Styela clava: one gene and its partners. The protein of the gene in region 1 interacts with the protein of each later gene in a pairwise test. Links are inferred from orthologs where the notes say so. Each region holds a gene or a part of one and is shown on either strand. Other genes may lie near its edges.

The links.
Region 2: the proteins of peripheral plasma membrane protein CASK-like (region 1) and voltage-gated delayed rectifier potassium channel KCNH1-like interact in binary tests that used the Drosophila melanogaster proteins (3 or more experiments, as listed by UniProt). The link is inferred for Styela clava from reciprocal best matches to the Drosophila melanogaster genes CASK and eag.
Region 3: the proteins of peripheral plasma membrane protein CASK-like (region 1) and protein lin-7 homolog C-like interact in a two-hybrid assay, tested with the Drosophila melanogaster proteins (2 studies listed by BioGRID). The link is inferred for Styela clava from reciprocal best matches to the Drosophila melanogaster genes CASK and veli.

The regions. Positions count from the first base shown.
Region 1 is NC_135256.1:838,763-849,895, reverse strand, and holds the start of peripheral plasma membrane protein CASK-like, read right to left. Parts: upstream 4,745-11,133; 5' UTR 4,668-4,744; coding exon 4,606-4,667; intron 3,714-4,605; coding exon 3,601-3,713; intron 2,125-3,600; coding exon 2,019-2,124; intron 1,232-2,018; coding exon 1,154-1,231; intron 1-1,153. Other genes in the region: uncharacterized protein C1orf50 homolog, read left to right, coding at 10,391-10,415.
Region 2 is NC_135250.1:11,629,462-11,640,962, reverse strand, and holds the start of voltage-gated delayed rectifier potassium channel KCNH1-like, read right to left. Parts: upstream 4,228-11,501; 5' UTR 3,927-4,227; coding exon 3,839-3,926; intron 2,689-3,838; coding exon 2,553-2,688; intron 2,223-2,552; coding exon 2,128-2,222; intron 666-2,127; coding exon 540-665; intron 85-539; coding exon 1-84. UniProt on the Drosophila melanogaster protein: Structural component of a potassium channel. Mediates the potassium permeability of membranes; potassium current is regulated by CaMKII and CASK. Has a role in growth of the perineurial glial layer of the larval peripheral nerve.
Region 3 is NC_135263.1:5,071,448-5,080,554, reverse strand, and holds protein lin-7 homolog C-like, read right to left. Parts: upstream 3,480-9,107; 5' UTR 3,356-3,479; coding exon 2,759-3,355; 3' UTR 2,564-2,758; downstream 1-2,563. Other genes in the region: ornithine decarboxylase antizyme-like, read right to left, coding at 306-785; uncharacterized protein LOC120340926, read left to right, coding at 7,155-7,410, 8,308-8,430.

The DNA of each region.
Region 1 (11,133 bases):
GCTCCCCAGCTCTGCTTTAAAGAGGAGATAAAGTTTTTATGTTGACAAGATCTCGGATTTAAACATCACGCTCCTCACTTTGCAGTAAAAAAAAAATGAGTGGACAATACTGGGTTGGATAATAACTGTAAATCGCAGGTCAGTAACTGATCCTGATTCTGAGTGGAAACAGTCGAAATGCAGGATTGACCCACAAAAAAAAATGTGTTCCGACAATTAATATTAAATATCCTGGTTCAAATCCCATGCCCCCGCCCGACCCATGGTGTGATATACCGTATATGCTCGTTTTGTAGCCTGGGCCCCTATTTTTTTCAACCAACTTACTAACCAGGCCCTTATTCAAACCGGCCCTTATTCAAGCACGGGCGCTTGTTATTTTCGATCGTACAATAATTAATATATTGTTATTTCCAGTTCTCAAGTATGATTTAAACAAGAATAACGAAAATTTTGACTTTTTCTACCCACCGCAGGTACAAATCCGCAAAAGAAGAAAAGTTTTGCGACGCCCTATCAATATTGAAACGACGCACTTGGGCGATGCAACGCCCAGTTTGAGAACCATGATGTTAAGTAATCAATGCTATCTGCTATGTACTTGGACGCCTAAGGCGTGAGTGTTATCTACCTGCGAGTAAAATTCAACAGCGTTGTGACAAAAGCGCTTCTTATTTCCTATTGTTTTCTACCACTGAAAAATCAGCTTTTACATCGGGCGGGTATTCAAGCACCGGCCCTTATTTATTTTTATGTTCTGTTCACACGGGCGGCTATTCAAACGGGCCCTTAATGAAGATCGGGCGGTAAAACGAGCATATTACGGCTGGGTCCTCACAACAATCCTAAATCCTGATTCGGTCAATATTGCTGTCGTGTACAATAAAAATAGCTCATTGATTGCATATAAGTGGCTCCTTGGCAATGACAATGTCATACACCAAATTTAGACATGGTGCTGAATTAGCCCATTATCACAAAGCGGTTCTGACTCCAGTTATCGTAATATCTTGAGTTTGAATCCAATGCACCCCCTCCAGATAATTTTGGCAGGGAATACTGAATTGGGTAGTGACTAATCCCCACAATAAATGTGGCTCTTTGCATATAAGCCTTGTTTTAATGAAAGTGCCACAACAAATAAATCTCTAACCTTGTAACGGCTTCGCTGTAGACGAATCCCATGTTCGCTCGTTTCACGATTTCGAAGCAAAGATCAGCGCCGTCCATGCTAAAAAAATAATTTCATGAAATTTTTGAATAAAAATTTAGTTAACGCTGTACCATACACGAAAGTCATTGAATATGCAATTTTTTTTTTTAATTTTTCAGCAGTTGCATAGGTCAAATGTCATTGGAAAAGGGCTCTTTAGCGTCATTTCACAGAACAGAACTCTAGCATATCCTCCTAAAAGCTACGAGTCAAATGTTGAGATCCAATGATTAGCAGCAGAATTTTTTTAAAATGATCGAATAAAATGGGCGACCCAGAAGTATGTGTCCCTGTATGGAGGTAAATAATTATTGAGGGGGGGGGTGAAGTTAATTGCAAATAAAATAATACTTCCATCCATGTATTTTCAAAAGTTTTTTTTAATAAACATACTTCCGCATTAACATCTGTTATTTGTAGCCTAGTGTGAGCTGGTTATTTTTAAGGTGGGGGTGAGACTTGACTAATTTTAGAAAAGGGGGCGCGACTTAAAAAGTTTGAGAACCATTGGTTTGGTTATTTATAATAAAATTTGAAATAAATCAAATTTTGTATGTGGTGGCAAGTAACTTTCTAAACAAACAGGGTACAAAATTTGGCGCTCACGAAGTATGTGCACCAAGATGGTGCACAACCTGAACCCTAACCTGGTACGCATACTATGTTCAGGTGGTGCGACATCTTGGTGCACATACTTCGGGAAGTCCCAAAATTCTCTGACGAACGCATGGGGCCTGCGAGTTGTAGTTTGCCCATCCCTGCTTTAATAAAACTTTTATTTTGTTTCAAGTAAAGTAATACTCACTATTCGAAGACCATGTACAGCAATCCTTCCTCGCTGTAAACTTCATAGAGTTCAACAACGTTAGGATGTTTCAGCATGTGACATATTGTCGCTTCTCTCTTCAAATCTGTGGAACATGCAGGAATAAGAATTAAATTGTAATTGTAACCTAGGATCTCTAGGTCACTTATCTCATTATCCAGAAAATGCCAAGAACGACGCAAAGATGTCGCTGAAAAGGTTGTTTTTACAGCTATTTGAGAGATGTCGTTACTCACGTAAAGCGTATCGCATTCTCGACGCGTGACGTGAATAAGAGAGAAACTCAAAATTTTGGAATTGTAACGTAAAATTATCTGCTATATGTATTGAATTTCATCTGTGAACTAATCCGTTAGTTGTTGTCGACTAGTTACTACTTTAGTTATATATTAGACTCCTAAAATCTAGACTCCAAGATAAAGCAATATATTGATCAGAAGTTATGCGTGTTCAATTTGCTATCGGCAGGAATAATTAGAAATCGAGTTGATTATAACAGAATTTCAAATTTTAAATTTTTTAAAAATAATTTGGGATAGTCAATTTTCGAAAATGGTCATTTTGACACAGTGCATTGGTATTGAAAGTGGACCCAAGTTTGCATGAAAAACTCTTTGTGATTCCGAACAATGATTTGTAAAATGCATTATTGACAGATGGTCAAAGAATTTTACTGAACACTGTTGCAATTTGACATAAAAAAAAACTCTGAAATGTTTCATTCGCTCCATCAAAAGAGGTTGAATACCCCTGAAGAAAACTTTCAGAAATTGCAATGCCCACAGGGAATGCATTATGTGAAATATAATATCACCACTGTAATTGTCATGGGACAGCTGTCCCGGATTGGCCATAATTCCCTTCCAATGAAAGGTAGTATAGGTATGTATTCTAAAATGCAAGATTTTTTTTGTGCTCACAATTTTTGCCATTTGACTAATCTCAATCTAAAGCATGATTGTGATAGAGATGTCAGGGGTTCGCTCCTTTTGGGAAACGCTGCCTATTTATTCGTTATCTCATCTGACCTATTTCTACTTTTCTAGCGACCACCTTGTATATCATCTCTCAATAAAATCATTTATTGCTTTCGAATCAGTCAACCAGGTTCAATCGAATGTGTGGAAATTAGCATCTGAGTGTTGGTGAGAGATAGATGAGCGATCAAGTATTCTAATCAGCTACGTCTCACCCCCAACGGGGTTTGAATCGAAGTAACCCTATCATGACCAAAAGTTAATAATAAGCAGAACCCTGGAAAAAAAAAAACTACCCAGAAAATCCACTTCTTTCCTTGCATTGCATCAACTATCTTAGAGTCAGAAATATAGAATACAAAAAACGGACGCTTCAGAAGTATGTGCACCAAGATGGCGGTCACCGTGACTCCCGTAGTATTTGCACCTGAAATTATGGACTAACCCTAACCTGGTACACATACTAGATTCCGGTGTCCGCCATCTTGGTTCACATACTTCTGGAGTACCAAAAGGTGTTATGAGTGTTGGGCCATGATCATGAAAGTTTGAGGGCCGTTTGGATTGTAAAAAAAATAACTCACCGTGGGCAGTAAGTCCAGGACTTCCAGTGAACTTTGCCACGTCAACGATTTTAACAGCGTACTGGAGTTTTGATCTTCGATGAGTGCAACGTCTGACAAAACTGAATGGACCTCTGTAACAGGAAAATGTATTTTGTTGAAAATGTTTTTATTGTCAATCTGGTAACTGGTATTTTCCTGGAATGCTCAGCATGATATCATTGGTTTTCTGGAGACTGAGGCTCGTGTATGAATCCCAAATTCGAAAATATTTCAGGGGATAAACAAATTATAGATGTTATTATAAATGAGAACAAATGAATTGAAAGTTAAGTAAAAATGAAATGAACAATATTTGAACAATTTATAACTGTAAAAAAATAATTATATGGTCACTGATCAGCATCCGAAGCCACTGAAATTTTGGGTAGATCATGCTTAATATATATCATGATATTGCTCCACTCCAACAAGATTCAGGCATTTTCAAATACAATAAAAGCTTCTCACATAACATCAGATTTCAGTGGCCGTTTGTAGAAGGCCATGTTCGAAGCTAAAAGCACCGCTATGAGTCAAGTGCAATTTCAAGTATTTTGTGGCGTCTGAAGCTCAGGTGAGATTTCCGGACCATGGACACTATGGCCAAACCCATGGCGACTGTCTTTTTGACTGCCACGAACCAATGGTTGGCTGCCGATACAACAGCAGCAAATTGAAAACTAAAGGCGGGTGAAATTTTGCTGCCATAACCACAGCATGTCAGCTGTAATGGCAGGGCTGTCCCGGATGGTGATAAATATTGGGTAAGCTGGAACAGTTCCTTATAGATACAGTTTTAATGGATTTGGGGTTAGGTTTTAGGTTAAGTAGATATAATTCTGCATGATAAAATAAAATCTGGCTTTGTGAATATACCGGTAATAGCGCCATCAACAGGGCAGGAGCTGCCATCGGTTCATTCGGTTGCCATGAAGTGGTAAGAACTGCGCCTCCTACGAGTCATAAAAATAAAAAATTACTCACTTTCCGATGGTCTCGTGCTGTTCATAGTGGGTCTCGAATCTCTCCTCTACCATATTGTTCATTATGAAAGATCACTCAGCAATTGATTTATTACTTGTTATTCATAGTCAGATCTAAGTACTTAAAATGTGATAAATATATTTCTGTTGCAGAATATATGAACGGAATAAAGTTAACTTGTGAGGAAAGATATTGCCAGATTTCACAAACCCATGTTTACATGTTACAATAGAACAGTCAGACAGTGGTGAGCAAATACTCTTCTGAGTGATCCTTTTACATCCGACCCACGACTCGATATGAAAAACTATGAATATAAACAGTATGGTTATTGGTTACACACAACTAGTGAGTCACAGCTAGATAAGTTTTAAAGTCATCTTTCACTACCTCAACCCACTGGAATATAGCAAATATATAATTTATTAATATATAAATATATATATTTATTCATTTTTTTTTTCCATTTTAAATTCATAATCCAGTTGAGTGAGTTTCATATTTCAGTATTTTTCAAGCTTGGTCCAGAAGTAATAATTATCTACAACAATTAGGTTATTTCAATAATTACATCGACATAAAACAATGAACAAACAAATTAGCAAATGCAATAACACTTAGATCTATCACAAACTTCCTATTTAAAATAAGGCTTCTCGTGAATTTTGCAAAACTAGGCTATCATGAATCGTTTGTTCACTCTGGAATTTTCTATATTTTTTCCACTTATTGACCCATTACAGTATTGGGATTATTTACATCTGCTCTAAATGTAGAGCAATATACAGATATAAGTCTGTAAGGTGTTTTATTTTCAAATATTGAAATATGATCTAACGATAGAATTTTTGGGTCTGGTATAGTTTAGTACCACATGCACTTCTAGTTGGCCTGGCTAAACAATTTTTGCATATTTCAATCCCAACCCCCACCTGACTACGTTACCGAAAAATTACGTCATTTTGACATCACAGTGGCGTAAAAAGCCCCCCCCCCCAAAGTATGCTGAGGTCGTCCAAAACGCACAGGCGATCACTCGAAATCGAGCAAGCTATTTCTCTCATTTTTTTGTCGCAACGATCACGATATGAAAGAGATTCCCAACGTTAGCGAGTTCCTTATCCAGTTATCACTGTATCAGTGATGGGCGATCGTGAACTGGGCGATCGTAAATATATTTTGACAGGCTCTATGACATGGTGATGTTGTAGCGAAGTACTTTTTAAATGGCATAGTCAGGTAGTCAGGGGTTAGGAATAACATATGCAAAATTCTTTATGCCTGCTCCACTAGAAGTACTTGTGGTAGTCCACTAAACTATACTATAAGTATAAGTTTATTTCGACTCCATAATCCAGTAATCAGCATAACACTTAAATGATTTGTATAAAAAATAAATCAATCAATCATTCATTTTGGTTCTCTGACATAAACAATACAAAAAGTAAACGGACAAAACAAAATGCAGTGATACCTGGGAGACAGGCATAACTTAAAAAAGGTTAAAAAGCGTACAATGTACTTGCCGGCCCACCAGAAGATAAATGAAACAAACACAGATTTAAAAACGCGATCGGGCATCACTTTGGAAGCAATTTGACAAAAACAACCAATTGCAGAATTGAAGTAGAAACTGATAAAATAAAAACTGATTATGAAAACAGGAGAGCAAACAAAACCTTGGACAAGGTTTAAAACGTACACAATACAAGATGGAAGGTCGTGCCAAGAAGAAGTGGTACGTGTTCACTCACCCAAAATAATGGAAATATTTCACACACTCTCACACAACCATACAGAAGTTACAAAGTAAAAAGAACCCGAATTTTTCATGATCCAAATTTTATAGCCTACCGTATCTCACAATTTATATGACGAAAAAAATAAATACTACTAGTCTACTTTATTAGTGCTACTAAACCTATTCCGGTACATCGAGTTTTCTAAAACAAGAAAACCATTCCCATGTTCGACAAACTGACAATAACGTCAGAACGAGATTTGTGAATCCTATCCTAATCCTATCCTAACGTACCGGTACCGGTACGGTAATATCGAAACAATTTTAGTGTATGGCCCCGTTATTATTTTGTCCGCGTGACACGCAAAAGAATCATTAATTTGCAAATATGAAAATCTGTTAATTCAGCAACAACTAGCCTACAAGCAAATAAACTAAAACCACAATCAGCAAAATTTCTCATTCATTTCGCAAGAGAACCGACCTGACGGTCATTGTGGAGCAATAAAATCTATGGACAATTCGTCTGTCTTTGAGCGGTACGAATCATCCAACTCGAAAGTTATTTGGTACGAGCTGTCTGTGATTTTGAAGTGTGACTCTTGGGTGCCATCTCCCGGGTTCAATAACTTTATCAATGATCATAGCACATAGTGGGAATATTGATTGCCAGGTCTTCCAAATGAGACGATCTTTTCGCATAAACACTTTTTAATTTCACACATTTAGCTCTAAACAAAGCTCAGTGGGAGCACTACGTTATATTTTTTAATCTACAACTTCTGATTGTTTCATATACTGATACAAAAAAAACAAAAAAAAATGAATCAAACAATTAATGATCGAAGAAAATAGAAATACCGTAATTCGAATCACTATCCACACTTTTAAAATCAAATACCTGACTGAATAATCCTTTACCCGGCATGGACTGGAGGACCCATCGTGTTTGCCATTTGATCCCCCCCTTTTGAATTTTCTGAAACGTGAAAAAGTTGCCGATAACACGTGCAATTGCCTTCTGCTAAAATCGACGTTCGTTTTCATCAACGCGGCATGTTATTTATGCCGTGAACGCCCTTTACATTGGTGTTTATTCTCTTTAAATCACAAATTTGTGCCGCGGGAACAATGATAATTATTGGACACGTAGTGGACATAACGATCGTTTCAATATTATGTTGTTCTTGTTTTTGTTCTTGTTATTTGACACAGAATAACACACCTAGTGGAAATATTAAATAAACGCTTTCTCTTCGAATACTGGACCAATTGCTTTGAAATGTTCAGTGGTTGAAGATAAAATTTTTCCCCAGAAGGCTATTACTTTTATTCATTTTAAATATTTCTGTTAGCTCTGTGAGATTTGTTTTTGTTTGCTATGACGTCATTAAACGTTCTGCGGGCATCGGACGCCATTTCGTGTCTTACTGTACTGCTTCGCTTGGTGTGAATATATTTGTAGACTGTGATCTGACGGTACGGTAAACCGTACTGTACTGCGGACAGACGTGTCCATATATTTGGGCGTAGCTCTCTTGTTTTATTTTTGTACCCGCACGGAAATGTGAAAACTGAAAAAGCGTGCAATTGCCTTCTGCTAAAATCGCTTATGTTTTCATCAGCGTGTTATTTAGGCCGTAAACGCCCTTACATCGGTTTTTATTCTTTCTAAATCATAAATTTGTGCCACGATAGACATGATAATTATTTTATTTTTGTACTTTTCACGGAATTGTGAATTCGTGAGTTATTACACATTCATCGGTGGCGAGGTTCTAAAGACAAAAGAAGGAGTAAAACCGCGATCTAAATTTGATTGAAAAGCGGCATTATGAAATACTGAAAATAAAACCGTAAATAGTTTAAGTTTTGTTGAGTCCCGCGACAGTCTAAAAACGATTTTCTAGTCGCAAAATCGCAAAATTTCGTGTGCCTACGGCGCACATTATGTTTGGTCGCCGTTTAGGAACATACCGTCACTAAATTCGAAACACGGTTAATTGTGGGTGGGATTTGCCCTTTATCCAGCACTCCAAAATTGTCGTAGAAAATTTTCGTGTTATCATTAAACAAGGTTGAAAACGCGATTTTTTCCCGGTTTGTGATGATATACAAGATAATTAATCCGAAGTATATCCATCAATTTTTATTGTACTGAAATAAATTTTACTCCATGAGAATTTACAGCAGATTTACGGATTTTTCAGGAGGTTTTATCTTTAAAAATAATCGGAGTGTCAGCATTGCGATTGAACGGAGTCAATGTTACAAGCACATCTCAAATTTGTCGAATTTGCAAAATAGAAAAAATACGGATCAAAACAATATATGACACGGGCAGTTACCACAAATTTTTATTTTTATGTCGGCATATGGCCGAGGTTTTTTTAAAATTGTGACATGTAAAAAATTGATATGTTTTGTCGACGCAAACGCTGGTTAAATTGAAGAAAATTAAATTAATAAAGCAAGACATTTTAAATATGCCCTTATCGGTCACGAATTGATTACTTTGCACAACAGAAAAATCATTTCTCGTTGTAAACGTCGGCTCTTTTAACAAGTGGCGTAATCGCGGCGATGAATATGTATTTTTGATTTAACGATATACTTCATATGCATTTTCATTGTACGAAATAAAATTGTACTTTTCGGGATTTTATATCAGTTATTGAGATTTTTCTAACGGCGATAACGAGTTGGCAAGATTCCAAAAATACGTATTAAAATTAAATACACCGTTTATCTCATATTTTTATGTCCACCGATCGCCGTGGCATTTCAGAGAACTAATGTTTTAACTTTGACGTGAGAAGAAGCAACCGCGAGTTACGTTGGACACAATTAAACTAATATATAAAGACATTTTAGAATTTTGTAGTTGTCAGAGATTGAATATTTCACGCGACAAGAATAATCATTATACGCTGAAAAGACGTCCCTTTAACGAGAGCGTAATGCAAAGACTGTTACAGGCTGCAATGGGAATTTATGATTATGTACCCCCCCCCCCCTTTGAAAATCCTGGCTGCGCGCCTGAGCGTGATAACTAACTTCAATCATTAGCCCCTTGTAATTTTGCTTTTTACAATTATTTAATTGTATATTACTCTATTATATCTAATCCAATATACTCAATCCAATACCTGTGAATCTTATGTATAACAGTGAATATGGGGGGAGCTGACTTGGATGACCGTATGGTCGTATCGCTCCCTCCAGTCTTTACCATGAACAGTGTTTATTTATTTGTATTTATGCTTTCATATTTATATTTGTTTTGGTTGACGAATCAATAAATCTTTCTCTCTCTGATCGAGCAGTCTCGTCCCCTTCTTTTTTCCCGGAATAAATAAAATAAATTTCTCTCTCTCTCTCTAATCCTATCCTGACCTTTGGTCGTATCACCATCTCCCAGTCCATACCGAAATAAATGCTGTGTAGTTTATTAATTTGAAATTTATTTGTATTTTGGTTGACAAAAATAACAAGGGAGCTATGCTCAAATATAGGGACACGTTACAAGGTGCCGCTATTTTTTATTCCGACACATAAAAAACGAATCTCCTAAAGTTCACAGAAATTTTTGAAAGAAGTAAAAGTAATGGCCTTCTGGCGAAAAAATCAATCTTCAACCACTGGAAATCTTGAAGCAATTGGGTCAGTATTGGAAGAGAAAAGCGATTTTTTAATGATGAAAAAAGGAAAAAAAGGAACAAGAACAACATTAAAACGGTCGTTATGTCCACTGACGTGTCCAATAAACTCTTTCTCTCTTTATATATTTTTTAGTATCGAATTATGAAGTAATAAGTTGAACGAATCTGGCAACTATACTCTGTTTACTTTCTGCAATAGTAATTGCGCAACACCGCAAGAGTCATTGATCAAATTTGCACCAACTGCTCTACGCGTCACCCCTTCCGTTTATGCTTATAGATCAGATACAGACTTGTCGTCGTTCATGAAATATCGTACCGATACAACGGATTGGTAGAATAAATATTCTTGTATTTAGTTCTTATTTTCAGCGGCTGAAATATGGCGGAGGCGACTCAAAAACCAGGTGAGTTTGCATATTTTTCCAGAATTCCTGACATCTGTTAATGTAAGCGTGAAGCTTTATTAGCAAATGCAGAAATATTCTTTGTGTCAAGAAAGATTTCCTATTTAGTAAGATTCAACATAACAATCGTAACCCCCACTGGACTACGTTATCCAAAAATTATGGGGTCTAGTATACTGAGTATAGTTTAGTACCACAAGTACTTTCAGTGGGCGTAGCATAACGAATTTTGCATATGTTATTCCTAACTCCCACCTGACTATGCCATTCAAAATTTACGTCACCATCACGTCATATGGATTGCCAAAGTATAATTATGATCGCCCGAAATGGCATCTGCGCCGCCGATAATGCCGGCGATCTCTCTCATCGAGGTCGTTGTGACGAGAAAATGAGAGAAATACATTTTGGGTTATCGACGACCACCCGCATACTTCAGTACAGCACACTATCCAAATTCCAAGAATTTCCCTCCATTTGACTCAATAAAACAAACACTCTATGTGTCTCACAAACGAGGGGTGTCTGGGACCACGTCAGATGCTACATATCGCACCATGCTTGTCTCAATAATAATCTAAATTAATCAGGGCCGTCACATGACCAAAATTGGCGTTTTTTGCTAAAAACTCTCGAATGCTACGGTAAAACTTTTTTTCCTTTGGTAAATCAGATTATTTTTTCCCTAGGAATTCAATGATGACGTTACTAGATTGCG
Region 2 (11,501 bases), on another chromosome or scaffold:
CTGAGATTTCTTTTCCTTCTTCTATTTCAATTTCTTGATTTCTTTTCATCCGACTTACAAAATTGTTAAATTTTGAAAGACCCTCTGTTGCAAAATTAAGTTAAATATGAGAAAATCCAGTGATCAATTGATACCAACAAAAACTCCGACTTTGAAGTATTTCACAATTCAGTCAGTATCTACGAGTTTAGGTTGTTTATGAATGTAATTGCTCAGTCGGAATCGAATAGTAAATTATTCGAATTAGTTCAGACGAAAATTTCAAACTGCCGCCATCTTGTTTTTTTTTGTTCGCCAAAGGTCGAAATGAATCAACCCGGCGGGCTGACAAATATTTTTCAAGTATTCGAAATTCGATTCGACTCTGAAATCATCAGGTATACGTAAATCGAACAGCCGTAGGGAATTGTACACATAATAAAACAGTTTGAAATTTTTATAATTAGTAAATTAAAAAAATCAAATAATATGGAACATTGGATTCAAATTGAATACAATTGAGATTTGTTCATTATGTTGGCAGAATAAAATCTATAAACCTTTTTTATCTTGTGTTATTGGTCTCTTGATGAGAGTTATATCTTTGAATATCAACAGATACATTACTGTTGTGTCTGCGTCGTTCTTGATCGGTGCAACTTGTAAGAGGAACCACATCGGCGTACCTGGAAAAATGTTTACAGCAAATTTAAGTTCTATAATATCTTCAGCATTGTATTTCATCGCTATAGTTTCAAACAGTTCGGTAATAGTAATTTCGTAGATAATGTACGATATCGGGTATGAGATGACAGTTAATAACTCTATCAAAAATATACGATATTTTTATTCTTCAGTTAAGACTTAAGTTAACTTTACAATTCTCATTTGGAAATTTTTTGTTGCAGCTGGCTCGTAATTTATAGCCTTTATATAATAGAAAATACTTTTCGACTTCACGAAGTAGAAATCAATGCATTCGGATGGATTAGAAGGAATTGTACATGATCATTTGCTATTACAATAGTGGTTGAACGAGAATTGGCGCCGCATAATGCGGATAATAACCTGTGATCCAAGTTAAACCATTTGATCATTCACTTCTCCTTGTCGAGGAAATCGTTAAATACTTTATGCCAGACAATCGGATTACCTTGACATATGGTCAGTGAAGGCGTTACTCGTTATACGTTTTACAACGGGTTATCATAGTTTCTACATGAATATAGACCACTGTACTGTACTAATAATGATTCCACATACAGCATAGGTATTTTTGTTAACGACTGACTCTAAATGAGGTCTTCATCGCATTAAAATAAACTTGAAAATGACTTGCCGTATATGTACCACTAGTTCGTCAAGCTTACTGTGGTTGGGGACATTGAGTCTATGAGATGGTTTTATGCGTTTCTTTCTCGGATAAATTTTTATTAATTTATTTTTATTATAATTATAAGAAATACAAAGCACTTCGCAAAGTAGCATTTCGTGCTGAACTTTAGGAAATATGTCACTCAAATGTGATAAAAAAAACACTTCAAACTATTCTATTGTAGTAATATTGCCCACACTAAACCACGTTATTTCACCAATTCGCTACAGCCATTTTTTGTCGTCATGGCATAAACCAGTTTGTCAAAAAATAGAGCGTTGCTGTCAGTTTTGTTTCGATTGGTATTTTAGTCATCAGAATTGGTAAGTATAAAAATAGCTTATCCGCGTAGAAGTAGTTTATCTTTTAATCAAATTCACCCCATATATAAAAAAAAAAATTACGAATTCCCATTCAAGTTTGATAATTTATATTACAATGCCGCCACAAAAGATTTTCCAAGTTTATCGACGCTCAAGTTGATATTGCCACGATAAAAACAAATTAAACAGCAGACAGATGATGTGTCGTAAAAAATCATGTATTCATTTGATGAATTACATTAATTAACAACCAAGTAATGGCATTGCTAACTGTACCCATGGCCACGATTACACAGAATTACTTAGTCATCACAGGAAAAGTTAGCAGTAAAGCGATGGTATTGATTGATCACGTTAAATAACGATTTTCGAGAAATTCAGTTGTCTATGCCAGTTTATGTTTTAATGAGGTATCACAAAGTCATGGTTATTATACTGTTCAATACGTACCTGATTTGTCGTAAAGTAGCAATTCAAATTTTCCAGTTTCATTGTTATCCAGAGTATCTTTCATTTTTTGCAAAACATCCTTGTCCGTTAGATCTCTGTTACATAAAAAATAAAAAATTATAACCATAATTCATTTTTGGTGTTTTTGAATTTACTCTAAATACCAAGCCTTTCAAAACATGAGACTACAAATATGGTAAATTGTAGCGACACGATGATTCAGTTTGAGACAAAAGTCGTTTCGTATAAAAGCAAGTTGTCAACGCCAGTGTACTGGTGAAATACAAGCAAAATAAAGTTCACACAAAAACGAAGTGATCAGTGCTGTATATATATATAAGGTCTTATCCTTGCTAAAAACCGATTTGAAACAGGAAGAATCCTAGAATTCAACAATCAATTTATTGGTACAAAAATTAGTTTACCTGTGCATAAATTCGCAGATGCATGAAGCAGTCATAATTTCGGACCGGTTGTAACCAGTACTTTTGCAAAAACCTTCGTTTGCATAAACAATTGGCCAACCCCATAATTGCGCATTGGCCAGTAAGAAACTGCTATCTATAAAATAGAATAAATAAAAATCATGTGAACACGCAAACAAGAAAAGTAACTTTATAATGTTTCCTAATAATTCAAGAGCATGGAATTAGTGGCCTATCGCTCACTTCGTCACGCCAATCATGTCTTCAAAATGAGATTTTTCCGTATACCGCACTTCAACGATACATGATTTTATTAGTTTCGTCAATTTAAATACCACACAAGGCAGAAATGCATTTTGAAAATCAATTATATACGGGGAATCGGACTATATATATATTTAAAAGTACATTTTTATTAAGCGTCCCATTGGTACTGGTTGTTGTCAATACATATCACTGAATAATGTATGTTACACTAAAAGCTTTCAATATTGGCTAGTTCCTGTTTCGTATTGATACTTACATCTCGATTACTTACATTTCTTTTATCTAGCAAACTGATGGTATGTAGCTACGCCACAATTTATGAATAATTTAAAAAAAAGAAACATGTAAACGTCATTCATAAAAATTCACTGCAAATGCTTGACAAAAAAACTTGTTACAGTTAATGATAAAATTGTAACTTGAATTTAATATTGGCAAGTTGAAACCGAAGACGTGCATTTGGGAATTTGGGTGGAGTTTGGAAAGGGTGAAAAATATCGTGATGCAAATGCAATAAATGTCCAAGAATTTTAATAGTTACATACAAGTCAAATGAAGCAAGTCAAGACAAACCGAATCAATATGCTAATTTAAAAGTCAAGTTCAGTCTGAAAAATGGGCACTCCCGTAGTATGTGTTTGGCGACTGTTAGTGTTGGCCAAGTGAATATACCCCTGCTCATAGGCTTCAGTTTCTTTACATAAATTGATGTAAAGTAGGAGAACAAAGTTAGAGTCCTCCGTATTGATACACATACTTCTGGAGCGCTGAAAAATGTCCGTTGTACTTTTAAGGATCAAGCTGCTTCAACAAAGCCGTAAATCAAAATCAAAGTGATCCAAAATATTCATGACATCGAATAAATGAAAATCGCAACAACTACACAAATTTGCGGGGACAACTGCAAGGGGACAGTCCGTGAATATTTGATATGTATATACAAACATTCTGCGATTTTATGTATTCAAACAATTCCAGTTCTAGCGATCTAAATCAAGTATATGAAGAAGTACACTCACTTGTTTCGTACTGATTAGTTTTTCTTATAACATTTTCCAAGAATGTGTTTTGCGGGGCAACAAGGCCTCGCTTCGATCCGGCAGGCATTTCATGCGTCGATCAACACTCAGAAACGATCCAAAAGAAATTGTGATATTTAATCTATTTAATATCACCGTTGAAATATGTTTCATTTATTTGTTCTATTGTTAGGGAATGTATATATACTATCCGAATAATCCGTGCTTTGATCGCAATTATGTTTTGTGGTTATCGTCATCAATACTTGGAAAAATATTCCACTCAAATCCTGTTTGAAATTTTGATGTCTTTTCCACTTCTGATTCACTTTCATTCCGCGTTGTTGTCACAACAACAATTCATACAATTTCAGGCGATTTTGCAAGTAATATACATTGCTGTGAAAAATTATCCAATTTGATTAGATTGCTTCATCTTTTTCGGAAAACAACTATTTTTGGAGCCACTTTGGTATGCTAAACGTGATATCAATCAAATACCAAAGGGACAGCACTTGTGTCAGACATTCTCATAGAATTCATTTCTTAACCCTAACTAAAATCACACGATAGTTGATAGAGCATACCAAAGTAGCCTATTAATTTCCTCCCACCTGTCTTTTCATGATATCTAATTTTAGTATTGAAATATTTATTCATCATCAATAAGATTGCACGTACCATAGTGTATAAAATAACTGATTATACAAGAAGTGTTTTCTGTATTAATACGCATTTAATAAATTAATGGTAACGCCAAATTATCTATACTAATCCAATTACAAAGCTGTGTACCATCCCGCTAATGTGTATTTTACCTTATCTTATCCTTACTAACTGAGCATGTATATTTGCAGTTTATGCTGCCTTCTAACATCCCGGAGCGCCGACATTCAAATACCTTTTCCCCACCTTCTATCTACATGGAGTTTACTCTTTATTGTAGCAATACGGCTTAATCGATCATAAGAAATTATTATTCCACATCGACCGGCTGTCGATTTGACTTTACATTTAAAAAAAGGGGCGAAGACCAATTTTACACCTTTCACGCGACTGGCGAAATGTCACTGATAGCTCACTCCTCCGACAAAAGGGCTCTCGGGAATCTGATCGATGCATCCGTTACGCACGCGACTACACGAATGTGGAATATGCAAACGACTCGCGACAGCCATGTGGTTCGATTTGTGGCAACCCGAAAAATATTTGAGAGTAACAAGGAATATATAAGCAGTCTAATTAGCTTTACCGAGCCACGGTACATTAGCGAAACGTGTTGAGAGCTCTGTTATTTAATGTTGTTGACAACCAACTGACAAAGTAATAGGTTTTTACAGAAATGGCATGATGTTCAAAATGTTCTCGTTAATTTTTTAGTTTAATGATTTTTGTCGATGTTATGTAATAATTTATATTTTGGAATCGATAAAACCCACAAAACGCGTATTTGAAATAAAATAAGTGCACTTTAATTATTCTGTACAATTTAATGAAATGAAAATGAAAATATACATCGTTTGATATGAGTTACTACTGGCGTTGATTTGGTTAACATTTGGCGTTTAATTTCACTGATTTTTGATTTATCAATTCAAATAATTCATAAAAAATTATAAAAAAAATTGGCAATGTATTCCACGCGGTGTACAAGTGAAACGGCGAACATGCTTAATGATGACTGCTTAAACTTTTATGATTGCTGCGTTGTTAAAGTTTTAATGTTTACTCCGTTGAAGACTATAATTTAAGATATTTAACTCAATTAAATGCATATAAATAAAGAACGAAGACACAATCAAAAATGCGTGACGCCATTCCAGGCTTTTTGTGAAGTCTTGTTGGTGCCATAAAGGCATAAACACTGCTTCCCTCAATTTGACGAGGATCACTGAATACTGGTATTGGCCTCTTTTTCGTGTTGGAGCGAGGTCGTAGTTGCGGTGGTTCAATGGAACGTGCGCTTTTGCAGCCTAGGTGATCATCGGTTGACACCTCGGTTCTATCAAATATGCACCTGTTCTAACCACCTCGCGATAGTAAATCATTTCTTGGTATTGTATATCCATGATATAAATAAAATATATTGTGGTAAACTATCTGACATTGGTATGGCACGCTAATGTTCGTATGGATCATTGATGGGCAATACCGCCCTCTAGAGGATAAAACACGGAAGGAGTTAGCGCATTTCGAAGGATCAGAATTATCGCGAAACTTGTCCAGTTACTTTGTGATATGTGTAAAAACGATTGTCTTATTTAACGATTGTAGTATTCTAATTAACTGTGTGCGTTTTTCTATCAAATAAATCAAATCGAATCCAGAATCCTATTTTATTTTCATAGTTATTTATTTAAATAGTGGGAATTCCCCACTACAATGCATGATTAAAATTTAAAAGAAGCTAAATTGCAGCCTAATTGTATAACTATCTTTGTACAGTATTTAATTGGAAATGTCCTGATCATTGGATTTTATTTAACCAAGGCAACGAGATTTAAGAATTTTGACGATCGTTTTTTTGTTTTTAACAGTTCAATATTCTCGATTTAACTACTATCAAGTACGAGCCAGAGTGTTTATTCTGTGCGAAGTCCATTTTCTATTACAAAATCTTGATGTTCTGTTACCGGTTTTATCGTTTTATATATAAATATACGTGCGCACGTACGTATTATATAAAAAGCGACAAGTTTGAAAAGTCGTTGTCTTTGCGTTATGGTGTTATATGCTTTTCTTTGATTCTATATTTTGCAAAAAAACGTACCGACCGTTCCGTAAATTTAGAAGCGTCAAGCCGGGTATATGAAATAAATTTCCCAGATTTTAAACTCCGTGTCATAAGCCATTTCTTGCATGACCGGAACATAAAATTGATTAAAATCAAATGTTAGAATGACTTTTCGGCGTTTTTTCGGCGGAATTTGCAAATTCCGTAACTAAAATTGAGCATTACTCAGTACGTATTTTAGCTATAATAACCGTCGGGGTGTTATTTCGTTGAAAAAAAACCTTAAAACTTAATAGCTATTTCAAATTAACATTCAGAATTCACGCAATCGCAGATTTGCAAGGTTTATCTATCTTATGCTAAAATAACACGAACACCATAGAAAAGCACGAGAAACTCAAGTATCGTTTTAATAAATATCTGCATCTCGGTTATCGTTCACTTCAAACAGGCACTGTTAATTTACAAGCGGTGATAAGTAAGATCAAAGCCAAGGCAGAGGATAAAACTCAGAACAAAATTAATTTGGTTTCGAAATCAGTCCTCAAGTCTTCAACAGCTGTCGCTGATGTGAACGCACGGGTATACGAGAAATTTAAAACTTCGATATCCGGCTACCCCTTATACTTGCAAAAAACGAGAAAAGGCGGAAATATAGATTACCAACTTTAGGATATCGCGATGACGGAGGCAATCAGAGATTATGATGAAATTAACTTTTAAAATAACACTTTATTGCCGACTTTTCAATGTTTCTATTAATTTCCAAAGAAAGTATCGACTTCCGACGTACTGGATCCCTGTTGTGTATAAAAATATTTATCATTCGACCATTCGTTATTCGTTCAAAATATTCAATTCGAAAAATATTCGATTTTGCCCACCCCTTGACTAACAGCCATTAAATTTGGCTTTGATTTCGAATAAGTATGTCAAAGCGGGTCGTAATCGTGGAGGATGCAAGGTGCAGAAACGGGTTGAGATGATCGCCAGTTGATCGGCAGATATTTCGGGACTATTAAACTACTGAAACAATGTGAAAAATACACGAAAGGGAGCCAATGATTACAGCCATGTCTAAAATCCTTCCAAGTGTAAAGGGTCCGAGTGGCCGCGAAAACGCTTACTGCTGCGTCACGATTGCATCTTGTGGATTAGTTAACGCTACGCGGATGAACTTTCTACAAAACTCAACTTTCCATAACATAATTTTATTTCAACAACAGTAATGCAAATACAATCAAATATTTAACAACCTACAGCTATCCACTCAGTCAGGCCCTCCGAGGACAAAGATGACTTCAATTTACTTTTATTCGACTTGCGAAAGTATTTCAAACGGCAGAAAGTTTTGCTTTATAATCATCATTTCAGATATATTCTATTCCACGGTCTAATACAAATAAAAAAGGAAATTTTATTGAAATAAAAAATTGCACTTGAATATCTTGCTTGCTGTGATATTTTAGTCAAGTGTTGGTCATATAAATTCCAGTATAGAAAATTTTTCTGGTTCTCAGTATTTCATGTAGGTTACAGCGATTGGTGCTCTACCTGGCCTAAAGAAAGTAGATTTCACTATTTGAGATTAAACATTTTATAAACTATTGGAGACGAATAGGTAAATAAGTGCATATTTGAATACTGTACTCGCTTTGAATAGTCTGGTAGACAAGCTTTGAGCAAACGAGACATTTTCTTCTAGCACCATCTCGCGGAATACGCTTCTACGTTAGTATTTTAGAAACAACGCAGCCCTTTACTTTCAAAAACACATTTTCCACCATCAGTCATTTGGAGAATTATTCTCGTTCTGTGTTCATATGTATATGGATAGGCTAGAATCAATAATAATTTTATTTGTTATTTTCGTAGAAGTGAAAGCATAAAATGTTTACGCATTTTCGCCATATTAAACTAATTTATGTATGAGGCGTTCTCCACTTTCATTCCAAAGGACAAGCATCCATCTGACATTCAAGGACTTTATCTGTTGTTATGCATCGGAATAGAGTGGAAGCAAAGCCAAGTGGGGTAATGTGTCTTTTCTGCTATTCGGTGTTCCTCAGCTGCAAGCCAACAAAGTTGATCAAGTAACTGCAGATTAAGAACCGACGAAGTTAAATTAATGTATAATAATTCCGATCGATGAGCTAATCCGACACGATACCTTTTTATCCTACTAAACAACGGCACCTTTCAGACCACGGACACAAGGCTTTGAAAATTATCCTACCAGTTTATGTCACTACTTTTCTTTGTGGGGGAATTATGCTTATTTATGCAGATTCCCGAATGGGTCGACACGTTTTTATTTTTTTGAGACAATATTTCAGAGGTTTGAAAGATATCATCTATCTTATACGAAAATTGTGGAAACCGACTGTCGCAACTTTTTCATTTATTGATTTTGCTCGCATGAATTCACATTGAATTTTGTGGTATAAAATATCGATGAAAATTCATTTTTCTGCCGTAATTTATGTGCGAAAAGTTTGAGAAACAGGGGTACATTTCGACAAATTGAAAAATTTTGTATGCTTTTAATGCCGAACGGATTGGGACCATTGACTGGCGTAGTTGGAACGGAGGAAAATAAGAAGTAATTTCCAAAAGAAATAAATTGATATTTCGTTAATCATATTGATTAAATATATCTATATAAAATTCAATGATTGTTATTGTTTCGTGACTTGGGCTACTTTTTGTACAAGCCCGTTTTCTTCTGTTCTGCAATAGGTTAAAAATACTAACGCATAGAATAGATTACCCGTGTTTTGATTTCATTTATTTATGAGGGCATCTGAAACAACCGCTTTGCAGGGTTCTAAGGTGAAGGGTTCGGGTTACATGAACGATACACGCACTGTATATTGAAATTCAAGGTTATTGGACACTAATTATTGGACACCTATATTTAAGCCTTTGCTCTCTTGGGGTTTTTGATATTTATTCCGTCCAATGAGTATAACAGAGTATGTGTTTTGAACACAACAGTGTCAAGCCTAACATTATATGATAAAGTTCTGAAGATGTTTGAGACCGATACATGGAAAATGGATCCAAGAATTTTAAGTGCTGGATAGCTCGATAGACGAGGGTCTGGAAGCAGTCATTGAATATTGATGGTAACGTGAGTGTCCTGGCGTGTCAGATCATGTCATCTGTTGCCCAACAATGAAAATTAACTCTGCCGTCGAATCCGCTAACGTGTCTTTTGTATTTATACTCGATTTGTGTAAAAATTCGCAAACTTTTAACGTCGACTAAAATTCAAACCATGTTTATTAAGTTTAATCTAGCATAATTATATAACTGCCTTCCTGATGAATTTCCGAAATGAAATGAACTTATTCCACCATCAAACACATTTTGCAGTAGCATTTATAATTTATATATAACGAGTTACGTATAATACATTATCGTATGCCATCTAGTTTGTAACTGACGAGAAAACTTGGGGTTATCGAGCAGCGTGTGAAAGTGAGTGTGGTGATTGTCTGAAGAGTCATTTTTTTTTCATCCCAGAGTATTTTGTTGTTTCGTTTTTATTTTTAAACTGTCTTCAAAGCGGCCTGATCATGCACGCTTCCATCGCTATACCCAGTTTAATGAGGAAAAGCGCATATTACATTAGCGACTTTTCACTTCGAAATCGTAGTACTGTCAGTTAATGTCTTTCTGCGATCATATTCAATCGTAATAAAACCACGATGGCCATCTTTTGTAACATAGTGCTTTTTATCAATAATATACCAATTTTATTTGTGCTTTTCAACACTCTGTGATATATGCATTGCCTACTAAAATCTTTTCTACGGTCTCTGTTGTGCCAGAAAATATTTCTATTTTGGAACAAAGTCGAATGACATTTTGGAACTTTAAGACCAAACATCAATTTGTCATCAAAAATTTCAAAAATACCTTGATTTAAAATAAACGTCTGAAACTCACATTTTGGAAGTTCCGTATAAAAATATGTAAATAAGATAAAAAAAAATGTGTTGTGATTAATAACAATGCGTAGTAAACACATTAAATTATGTCAATATTTCAATTGTGCAATGCCCATATTAAAATATAGTATTAGGCACGGGCAGGGGGTGAACCTCGGTCCACGTTTATTCCTGGTCTTTATTCAAGCAATCTTTTGATTATGATATGGAATTCTCGAAAATGCCAGTGAATGTTGTGTATTTTAACAGCAAAGTGATTTTATTTCATACTTCTTTAGTATGATCGATGACTTTCAAACGAGTCGTGATACGCTCTGTAATAACTTCCTATGACATTCAAGTGGGTCTGCTTTTTAAAGTATAGACATATCAAAATAGGACAGGGATAGTTTTGCATGGATAAACGACAAGAAGGGTTGAACATATTATATGAGACTTGACCTGATTAAAATTTCGAATAAATTAATACGCTAATCGAAAGCAAGACAATTTAAAGTAAGTAATTTAATTTATTGAGCTGGGACAATAACAATATTTGCAATTCTGAAAAATAATTTTTTACATTTCAGCAAAAATTCGAAAAATTTAGTATGTCAAGCTTGTTAAATTACTCTGATAAGAAAAATACATAACGCAACAAATTGTTTATCGAAAGATACTTAAGTTCGCGTGAAGATCAGGTAGCTCCTCGAGGCTAAATTTTGAGGCAAACAACGACTTTAAACACGTTTTTAAATCCGGAAAATAAGTGACAACATTCAGACTAAAAATGTTTTGTTTTGTGCGGTTCAAACCATATATTTTTATTAAGCTTATCAGTTGACAAAGTTCGAAGTAGACGAGCAAAACAAACAGATATTCCAGATATCGATAGGTATAGTGAAACAAATTGAAGGTTTCGTATTTTCAGCTGTTTTTCTTGTAGCTGTTCCAGGCGTAATTTATATGAATGAGTTGGGTAAAAAATAGATGG
Region 3 (9,107 bases), on another chromosome or scaffold:
CACAAATATGTACAACAGATACTTATTGGACATCGGCGGAACGAGGCATTTATTCTTTATTTTGTTGTATATGGAAGGGTCAGAATTTATACATGTAAATTCAAGCAATAAAATTCTGTCAAAATTGAAGTCTAATTGCCTAATTAGAAGTTTAATTGAGTCAATGGTGCGGATAACTTGAAAGGTTGATAAATATAAATAAAGACGTCAAACCACCGATGAGTAAAATTTTGAAGTAAAATGATTAATTTAATTCACCACAAATATATTATACAATCAGATGTATCAAGTTTAAATGTTTTGATTCAAAGTTCGTTACCGAGAAAAAAGTATTTCTTCGACCCAGGAGACAAAATAGAAAGCAGAGGGCTCGTGGACGGAATAGCCTGAAATCCCATGTACATGAAAGTACGTATTTGAGTTGACTTTTCTGAGCTTATATTCTGAACACAACATATAACAGCTTCGCAATCCAATTCTTCTTCTGCGATTTCAAGCAGTGCAACGAAGCTATCTCTACTGCCACTTTGTGACAGAGTGGTCGGAACTAAGACAAACATTTGACGGTTGAAGATAACAGTATCCCATTTAACAGTCATATTCTCGGTTACTTTAATCTCAAATGATTTTAAACTAAAATTATCAGGGTCAAGCTTATCGGCTCCGAATAGCTCATCAGCGAACGACGCTGTGGTATAGTTCTCTTTATTAGGGACGTCAGGAGCACTGCCGAGGCTGGGGTGCGCTGTTAGACCCGAACTTTTCCTTTTTCTTTTCTTTTTCATGACGCTGAATTGACGAGAGGTCGATCTGCATTTCACAACGATAATCACCCAGCATTAAATTATCTTCCAACAAAGATAAGATTATTTTTTTTTATCTAAAACAAAAACATGAAACAATATTAATTGAAATTATTGAAACTTTGATTTTAGACATTCATCAATAATTATTCTATGAAATTGCAAAAAAAACTTTCAAGTTAGTATTTTGTTGAATATTGTCCTTATTAAAAAACTAGCCTTGGCATGGCACAGCACTTGTATGTGTATTTGAACATATGAAAGAACGAACTTCTAGGCATCATTATGTGAATCTGAGTAGCATTTTTCCGCTGGGACGAAATCATGAAATTTAGAAATTTTGAATTTCATACCTAAACAGCAGGCTCAAAAACATTAGTTGATAGACAAAAAAAAACAGGAAAAAAAAATATTTCTAAATATTTTAAAATGTAAAATTGGTATAATTGAGTAATCGCACCTACGATATAGAAATGAAGTCAAGAAAGCACCTAGTAAATTTTTTATAGAAAACTAAGAGCTAAAAAGGACATAATTGGCCAAGTTTGCACTTGTAACTGTGGATGTAATTGCCACAAGAAAATAGCTACAACTCTTGTAAGAAAGGCCAAGGACATTATCAAGAATGCCACGATAAAATGTTTGTTCGAAATTTACTTGGTAGAAGAATTAGACAAATGAAAATAGTATAAACTTGATTGGGTCGCACAGTTGTTTGAAATATTTTTCTTGAGCGTCAAAATTTCACAAGAAGTGTTTGAGGTTAGTAAATATGAAGTCAGTACTACAGATTGCTCTGATATACAAACAAATTGAAGTCACTCTGACCAGAGGAGCAAGAATTTTGACTAGCGGCATCAATATTGTATGCTCAAGGTTAGAATATTCTGCCATTATTAATGGATTTCCATACAGGTAAAAAATGAAATATTAAACAAAAAGGTTAACACTATGAATTAAACATGATTAGTAGCTTGTCTGATGTTATTGATCCCTTGTAATTTGGAATGATTTGTCCAACAGGCAACATAAATGCATAAAATAATATAAAAGCAGCACTTTGTGACATAGATCGTTTCATAAAGGAATTTGATTTATGGTCAGATCTTCTCACTACACACCTTTATATTTTTGTAAATTTCTCGCAATGTGCAGAGAATAAAAAAAGCATAAATAAAGTGTCTAAATGGGTAAACCATACCTTCCTTCCTTGGTAATCAATGAAGTATGATTTCTCAATATGAATAGGATTATTTAAAACTGTTTCCCCCATTGACAATTGATACTAAATGAACCAATGCAGTTGTTACTTACCGGTAGGTACTTATACTTAAGTAACAAAGGCATTGGTGCATTTATTAAAAGTTGACTTTACCCCTATTAGTTGATCAATAGTTTTACTCAGCAAATTCTGAATTTCAGTGGGTATGAATTCTTTGGTACGATCTAACTAAACGCTATTCAAGAAAATAATAACTAGCTTCAGAGCATTAGAAATTCATCACAATTTCTTTCAATCATACCATATTGATGTGGTCCAAGCAGTCCAAATCGTACCAATGTAGATTATATCAAATCAAATCAAAAATTTTCAAACATATTCAGTCTAACAAAGTTTGAAGAAAAATTCAAATTCAATGTAATATTTTGGATTTCAATATTTTGATATATTTTATAAGTTTCTGAGCAAAATTGAGCATATATCAATAAATAGAAAAATTTATTTTGAATACACAAGTTTTCGAATATTCTATATGCGAGAAGCAACACTATTTGGAATAACCATAATCTTTCAATTTCTGCATTTTGAGTTGTAAAATACAGCTAAATAGACCATACCCTCATCAACAATATCATAACAAATAATCAAATAGAAAATCAAGTCAACAAAATCAAGAAAACATCAATAAAAACATTAGCAGCTTAAAATATGTTGGACAACTAACTGAATGGAATTAGCCAGAGTTTGAGGTATGCTGTTGCCTTCTGGATAGACGAAGTCGCTCGAATCGTTGCTCCATCTCTTCTAGAACATGAGGAGTATATCGAACAACTAATTTAACATTTCCGATGGCAGCTTTGAGAAGGTCAACCGCTTTCTCATGGCATTCGTCTTCAACGGACTCTCCATTGACTGATAAAAGTTGATCGCCACGTTTTAAGCCACCATGGCGATCTGCTACCCCATTGGGTATAATACGAGAAATATAAATTGGAGAGTTCTGTTCTTTACCTCCCATGACATTAAATCCAAGTCCTTCCTCTGTTTTAGGTAATTCTACAACTCTCGGGTGGGCATGTCCTTCGCTGGCTGCAAAAGCAGCAACTGTGGCCTTAGCAGTGGCATTTGCAGCTATTTCAGGATTCCCGGTAATGTCCACAGTTTCATAAACATGCTCATAGACTTCACGAACAGCGTGTAAAAAGTCACTTTGCAAAACGGCTTTCAACGCTAGGATTTTATCCGATGGAACCTGCCCTCGACTTTGTAAATTATCGATCAATTCAATCGCCCTTGTAATGTCTTGCTCGAGTGTCAAAGGTTCTGACATTTTAATAGAGTTATTTTAAAACTAGATAATAATAAATAAAGAATTACAAACAACGTCGCGGAATTAGACGAACGATAAACACCTCTCCTGAAAGTCAGGAAGCGACTGCCGTACCAGACGAGAAACAAGTCGTTGCGTCACCAGTCAGATGTCATCGAGTTCTCTTGCTGACGATTTTTTAGTGATGATAGATTTTCACTAAAACAGAAATGAGAGAGAGAAAATGATTTATTTTCCCAATGTATCAAAAAAATGTAAAATTTCAATAACTGTAAAAATAAATAAATCATAGAATATATTCGGGAGGGGGCCGCAAGACTGCAAGGTCAACTACGTCGACCGACCCATAAAAAAAAGAAAAATTTCTATTAAGACAAGACATTCAGATATCATGAGGAAAAAAAAGGCCGCTATAGATTTTTACCTTAATTAATTACAACAAATATTTGATGGATTACACATAACAGTTCCAAAGATATCGTAATATAAGAAGGGGGATTATTTAACAAGTTAGCTAACACAATACAAATGATTTCTTAAATATTTCATTTTTAATTGACACATAATAAATACACAATTTGCATAATTATTAGATATGTTGAAAGTAAAATTTATCGAAATGCCTAAAAACTTACTAATTTTAAAAAATATACCCATGGATAAACGCTAATTTTGTGGCAACAGTCATGTTTTGTTGTACTCCAACTCATCACTGCCATCTCGCGATCCTCATTATACGAGTTGCTGGTATTTTGATCTATTCATGAAATTACCGTTACACAATATACAGAAATAAGCGAGACTTCTGAAGAGACAAAAAGAGGGTGGTATTTCTATTTATACCGTAAAATTTCAAAACTATTATTCCTAAATTTTCTGAATGAATATGTTTTATTTGAATCGTCCGGTCGGACGAACAAAAATGTGAGCTAATCCCGACGACAGAAAATGATAACTGAATCGGATAACTCAATGCTCCTCAGCAAAAAAATTATCGACGGCGAATCTTCACGAAAACGAGTGTGAAAAAGAGAGAGAAAAAGGGATTTATTAGCCAATCAAAATACAGTCATCATTTCAACTAGAATAAAGTAGCCTAACCAACACTTTATATATATATATATCCCTATATAAACTGTAGGGAGCGGCGATAGGAACCTTCGCCCATTAAAGTCAACCCCAACCACAATCGCTCCTGCGACAATCGCTCCTTACTCATTTGATGAATTATCATAGAATTTACTATTATAACTAGGGCTGGGAATTTCAGGGAAAACACTTTAAAGTTAACCGATTAAAATTAACCGGTTAACCGCCGCGTGACGTTTGACGTAATAATTATAATTTCAGCTTGTTACGTCACATTGGTTATAACGCAATTTCGCGTGTTTTTATCCCGGTATCGCTCAAAATTATTTACGAATTGAGATAGTTTCATGATTCCTCTGCTGCAATAGATAGGCAGCGTGGTTCGGGCATGTGGAAATATTTAAGAAAACCCGATTCCGTTGTTAAACGTCATTTATGTGACAAATTTTCAGTGTTTGATGTGCAAATTCTATTTCGAGATATATTTCATAAAGAAAAGCGTGATCAAGTGCGCACTTGTTGTATGACATTGAATATCCGATTTTGCAATGAAATCGTGAACAATATATTTCGAAATCGACCAAAAACTGATTCTGAATTTATCATTGTAAATTTTCATTATCAGCAATCTTGGTACTTCCATTATTTTTTACATTCATTGAGTCCTTACCCACACAGTTAGTAATATTTTTTTAAATTAAACGCCGCAAGAGATAAATTTGAGATGACGTAATCATATTTAACGAAATTGTACGGTATAAAGATGATTTGTACCCGAGATGTCAGTTAACGGTTAAAATAAATCATAACCGTTAACCATCTGAAATCGGTTAACCGGTTAACCATTCCCAGCTCTAATTATAACATTACCTTTTAAAAAATATATTTATTGATTTTGGTTATCGAGTAAAGTTGAAGGAGTTTTGGAACTACTCAAGTTGAATTTTGGGCATATGTTTACAAGAGTTCTAATAATTTCAATTTACGTGAATTAAAACATCATAAAATAAATGTTTACCAGTTACAACATTTAATATGTATAAAGAAGATTTAAAAGCATTCACAACTGGAGAGTGGATTACCCAATACAAAGCATAAGATTGCTAAATAACCAAAACGAAGTTACAAACGAAAAATAATTTGCTAAACACGGAAGTAAATAGTTGGCTAATAAGGGAAATTATGGATGATACATTAGTATGATTACGAATAAAATCGATTGAGGAATGTCGCAAATACATTTTTCACGTGATTAATTGCCTTTACAGTATAAGAATTTGATTTTTCAGACGCAAATGTTTTTTTTATGATTTGGCCATTCCTTTCTACATTATGAACAGCCGGCTTCAACCTTTATAAATAACTTTAATCTAACCACGAAGTTTAATGTAATCGGATACAGGAAACTTTCAAATATATCCTTCAGGCTATTGCAAGATGTAGCTTCGTACTGAGATTGAGATATGTTGATTGCCGAGTGAAAGTCAACTCTAGGTCGTGAAATTTAAAATCTTAAGTCGGTTGGCCCAGTACTTACGAAGAAAAGCGACATTTCACGACAACAATACCCCAACAAGAACAGCAATTCAGCAAAATTCAGGTTTATTTCGTTTGTAGAAATAGAGTAACGTACAGTGATTTCGGCAAAGACATGAGGATTAGGTCTGTCATATTTACTATGGTGCACAATGTCCAGAGGTAAAGTTGACTGTATAAAATAGACGAGCATTATAGAGCATTAATTGGCTATATCGACTATATTCTAAAATAATGAAAGACTTATATTAAAAATAAGTACCTATACTATAGGATATGAGTAAATAAAAACTACCAATTTTCCATATCTTCGTACAGGAATTACAGTTTGTATTCAACCAAGGAAATAACATATATCATTTCCCATAAGGCAAATTTTAAGGTACCACTCTGTATTAGTGCGGCCAAAATAGTCGAAAGTCCACCATGGTTACCTGTGAATGATTACTAATTGTAATCATTGTAATGCGACACGGTCTTTTGTCGAATACCCGTCTAATTCGGCAGCCTATCACAAAAGCTAACCTATTGGTACTCTCAAACAAATGGGAAAGGAGGGCGGAGAATGGTGATAAGAATAATATATACCATGATCGTATATGATAGAAGAAGACAAGGTACTCTCGTAGTATGTGAACCACGATGGCGGACACCGGAACGTAGTATGTGTATCAGGTTAGGATTAGGCCGTAATTTCAGCTACAAATACTACGAGGGTGTGGTCACTTGGATAGTTTCCGAACTCGTAATAGAACAAAATTAAAGAAAATTGGAATAAAATTATGGCCTAACCCTAACCTGGTACACATACTATGTTCAGGTATCCGCCATCTTGTTGCACATTCTACGGGAGCGCCGAAGACAGTATACAGTGTTTAATTTCAAAGGAAGACCAGAGTGTTGGGTGTCTTTAGAATGCGAGCCACCGATCATGAAAGTACGAGATCCACTATTTCAGATTGTGTTACCAAAGGTTATTAAATAGTGATCGTCTTAATGCAATCTGTAAGCGTATATTCATAGGTCTCACTGATAGGAGTACTGATGCGTTTGTACGTGCATGATGCTTGGTGTTGCGAGAAAATGTTTTAAAATATCAAAAAATTGTAATGTTTTATTTCTTGGAACCACAATACAGATTCAATAAAAGAGGCTTCATATAATATCGGATGAAATGAAGAAATTTTTTCTGAGATTTATTATTTGTTTCTCCATTCTCTTCATTTCTGTGATATGTCAGGACGATGAAACCGTCATTCATTGTTCTGCTAAACCAGGCTGTTTGATTACTCAGTGCGATCCGACTCCTAAAGGGTTGAATGAAGTTGACATCGAAGGATATATGAACAGAAATGAATTTCCTATAACTTGTAAATCGAAGCTTGGACAGAGTAAAGACTTAGAGGCAGAAATGGCCAAATTTAAACAAGGTGAGTGCATAAGTATACCTGTCAAGTAAAGTTTATATTTTCATTTTCGGTAAAAAAAAATCAATCGGGTCGAGCGGATAACGATTTTGCCGTTGCATAAAATATTTAATCCGTGGCCGATGCGAACATTTAAAATGTCTTGCTATGTTAATTTGATTGTGTTCAACGTAACTCGCCTTTGCGTCGATTTACAGTAAAATAAAAGTCCAACTATAAAATACTTCGACAATCTGTAGAATAAAACACGCGATAAGATGTCCGATTATGAATAGATTGGATTCGAATTTTACTACCTTGGGATTTGAGCTATTCTGACTGCAACTAAAGATTATTTTCAAGATGTCGCCGCTAAAAGAAAAACTCAAGGTGTGTGAAACAATCCCAAAAAGTACAATTCGCAATTACGCAAAGTATTCAATCCACGACCGATACGGGAATTTGAAATATCTTGCTTAATTAATGTGTTCAATGTAACAGGCTGTTGCGTGGACTAAAAATACAAAACATTGCTACTTCAAATGCCGCATTTTTATTTGGAGCGGGTCTCCTAAAACAGAACTTATTGTGTTTTAGTTGTTTTAGTAGTTTACAATGCCGCTTTTCAATCATTTACTACTTTATTAGCTTTAGCATCTCGTCGCCGATGATTATAATATAATGACTGGTTTTTCACAACAAATTCACCATTCCGTGTAAGAACCAAAATAAGACATGCATATGTTGATGGAAATTTGTGATATTGGAAAAATGAATATCGACGCGAAGGTGTTCACGGCCCAAATAGCCCGTGAAGAAAACAATCGGCGATTTTAACAAAATGCGATTAAATCCAATCTTAAATTCAATAATATTAGAAATTCCTGTACAAGAATATTACGTGAATATTTTCAATTACAGAAATGCGGAAAGAGTTGACCAATTTGAAACAAAAGCAGGAAACATCACTGAAAGAGATGACGGAGAAATTGAACGCAGCTGAGGCGTTAATAACGGATTTATTATCAAGAAGTCAAATTCCAGGTTAGAAATTAATAACTGCGTGTATATCTGTAGAAAATTCGGTGCTACATGCAGAAGTGCGTGCGTACCAATATGGAGAATTAATTTTGTTCGCCTACTTTACATCACGTTGTGTAAAGGAACTGGACCTATGGGCAGGGGGTATATTCACTTGGCTAACACAGACAGTTCCGAACAGTAATAGAACTAAAATGAGGAAAAATCGAGATAAAATTATGCCCAAACACTAACCTGGTACTCACGCTACGGGAGTGCCCATAAAGCTTCTGATTCACGCTATTTATGTTTTGACACCAATTTACTGTCTTCTCAATACAAAGAGCGTTTCCCAAGCTTAATTAGGCGACCAACTTGTGAAATATTGGCAACAGTTCATGGTCAATGAATTTTGTAACCGGCAATTATAAAGAATTGGTCATGGTGGCCTAATTATAAACAAATATTGTGTCATATTTGGTCATTTGACACATTGTGTTGGACTGGTAATGGTTGGCCATGGTTCGCCACATGATTAGCAGTCTTATTCGCTTCCTCTCCCCCGGGATAAATATGTAAATCCTGTTCTATTTGCATACGCAACTTCAATAAACTGATTGACAAAAGTCACCATAATTACTAAATTAGCCGTTTTATCGAGTCCATTTTTCCCTCGATGAATAATTCAGATATCCTATTTA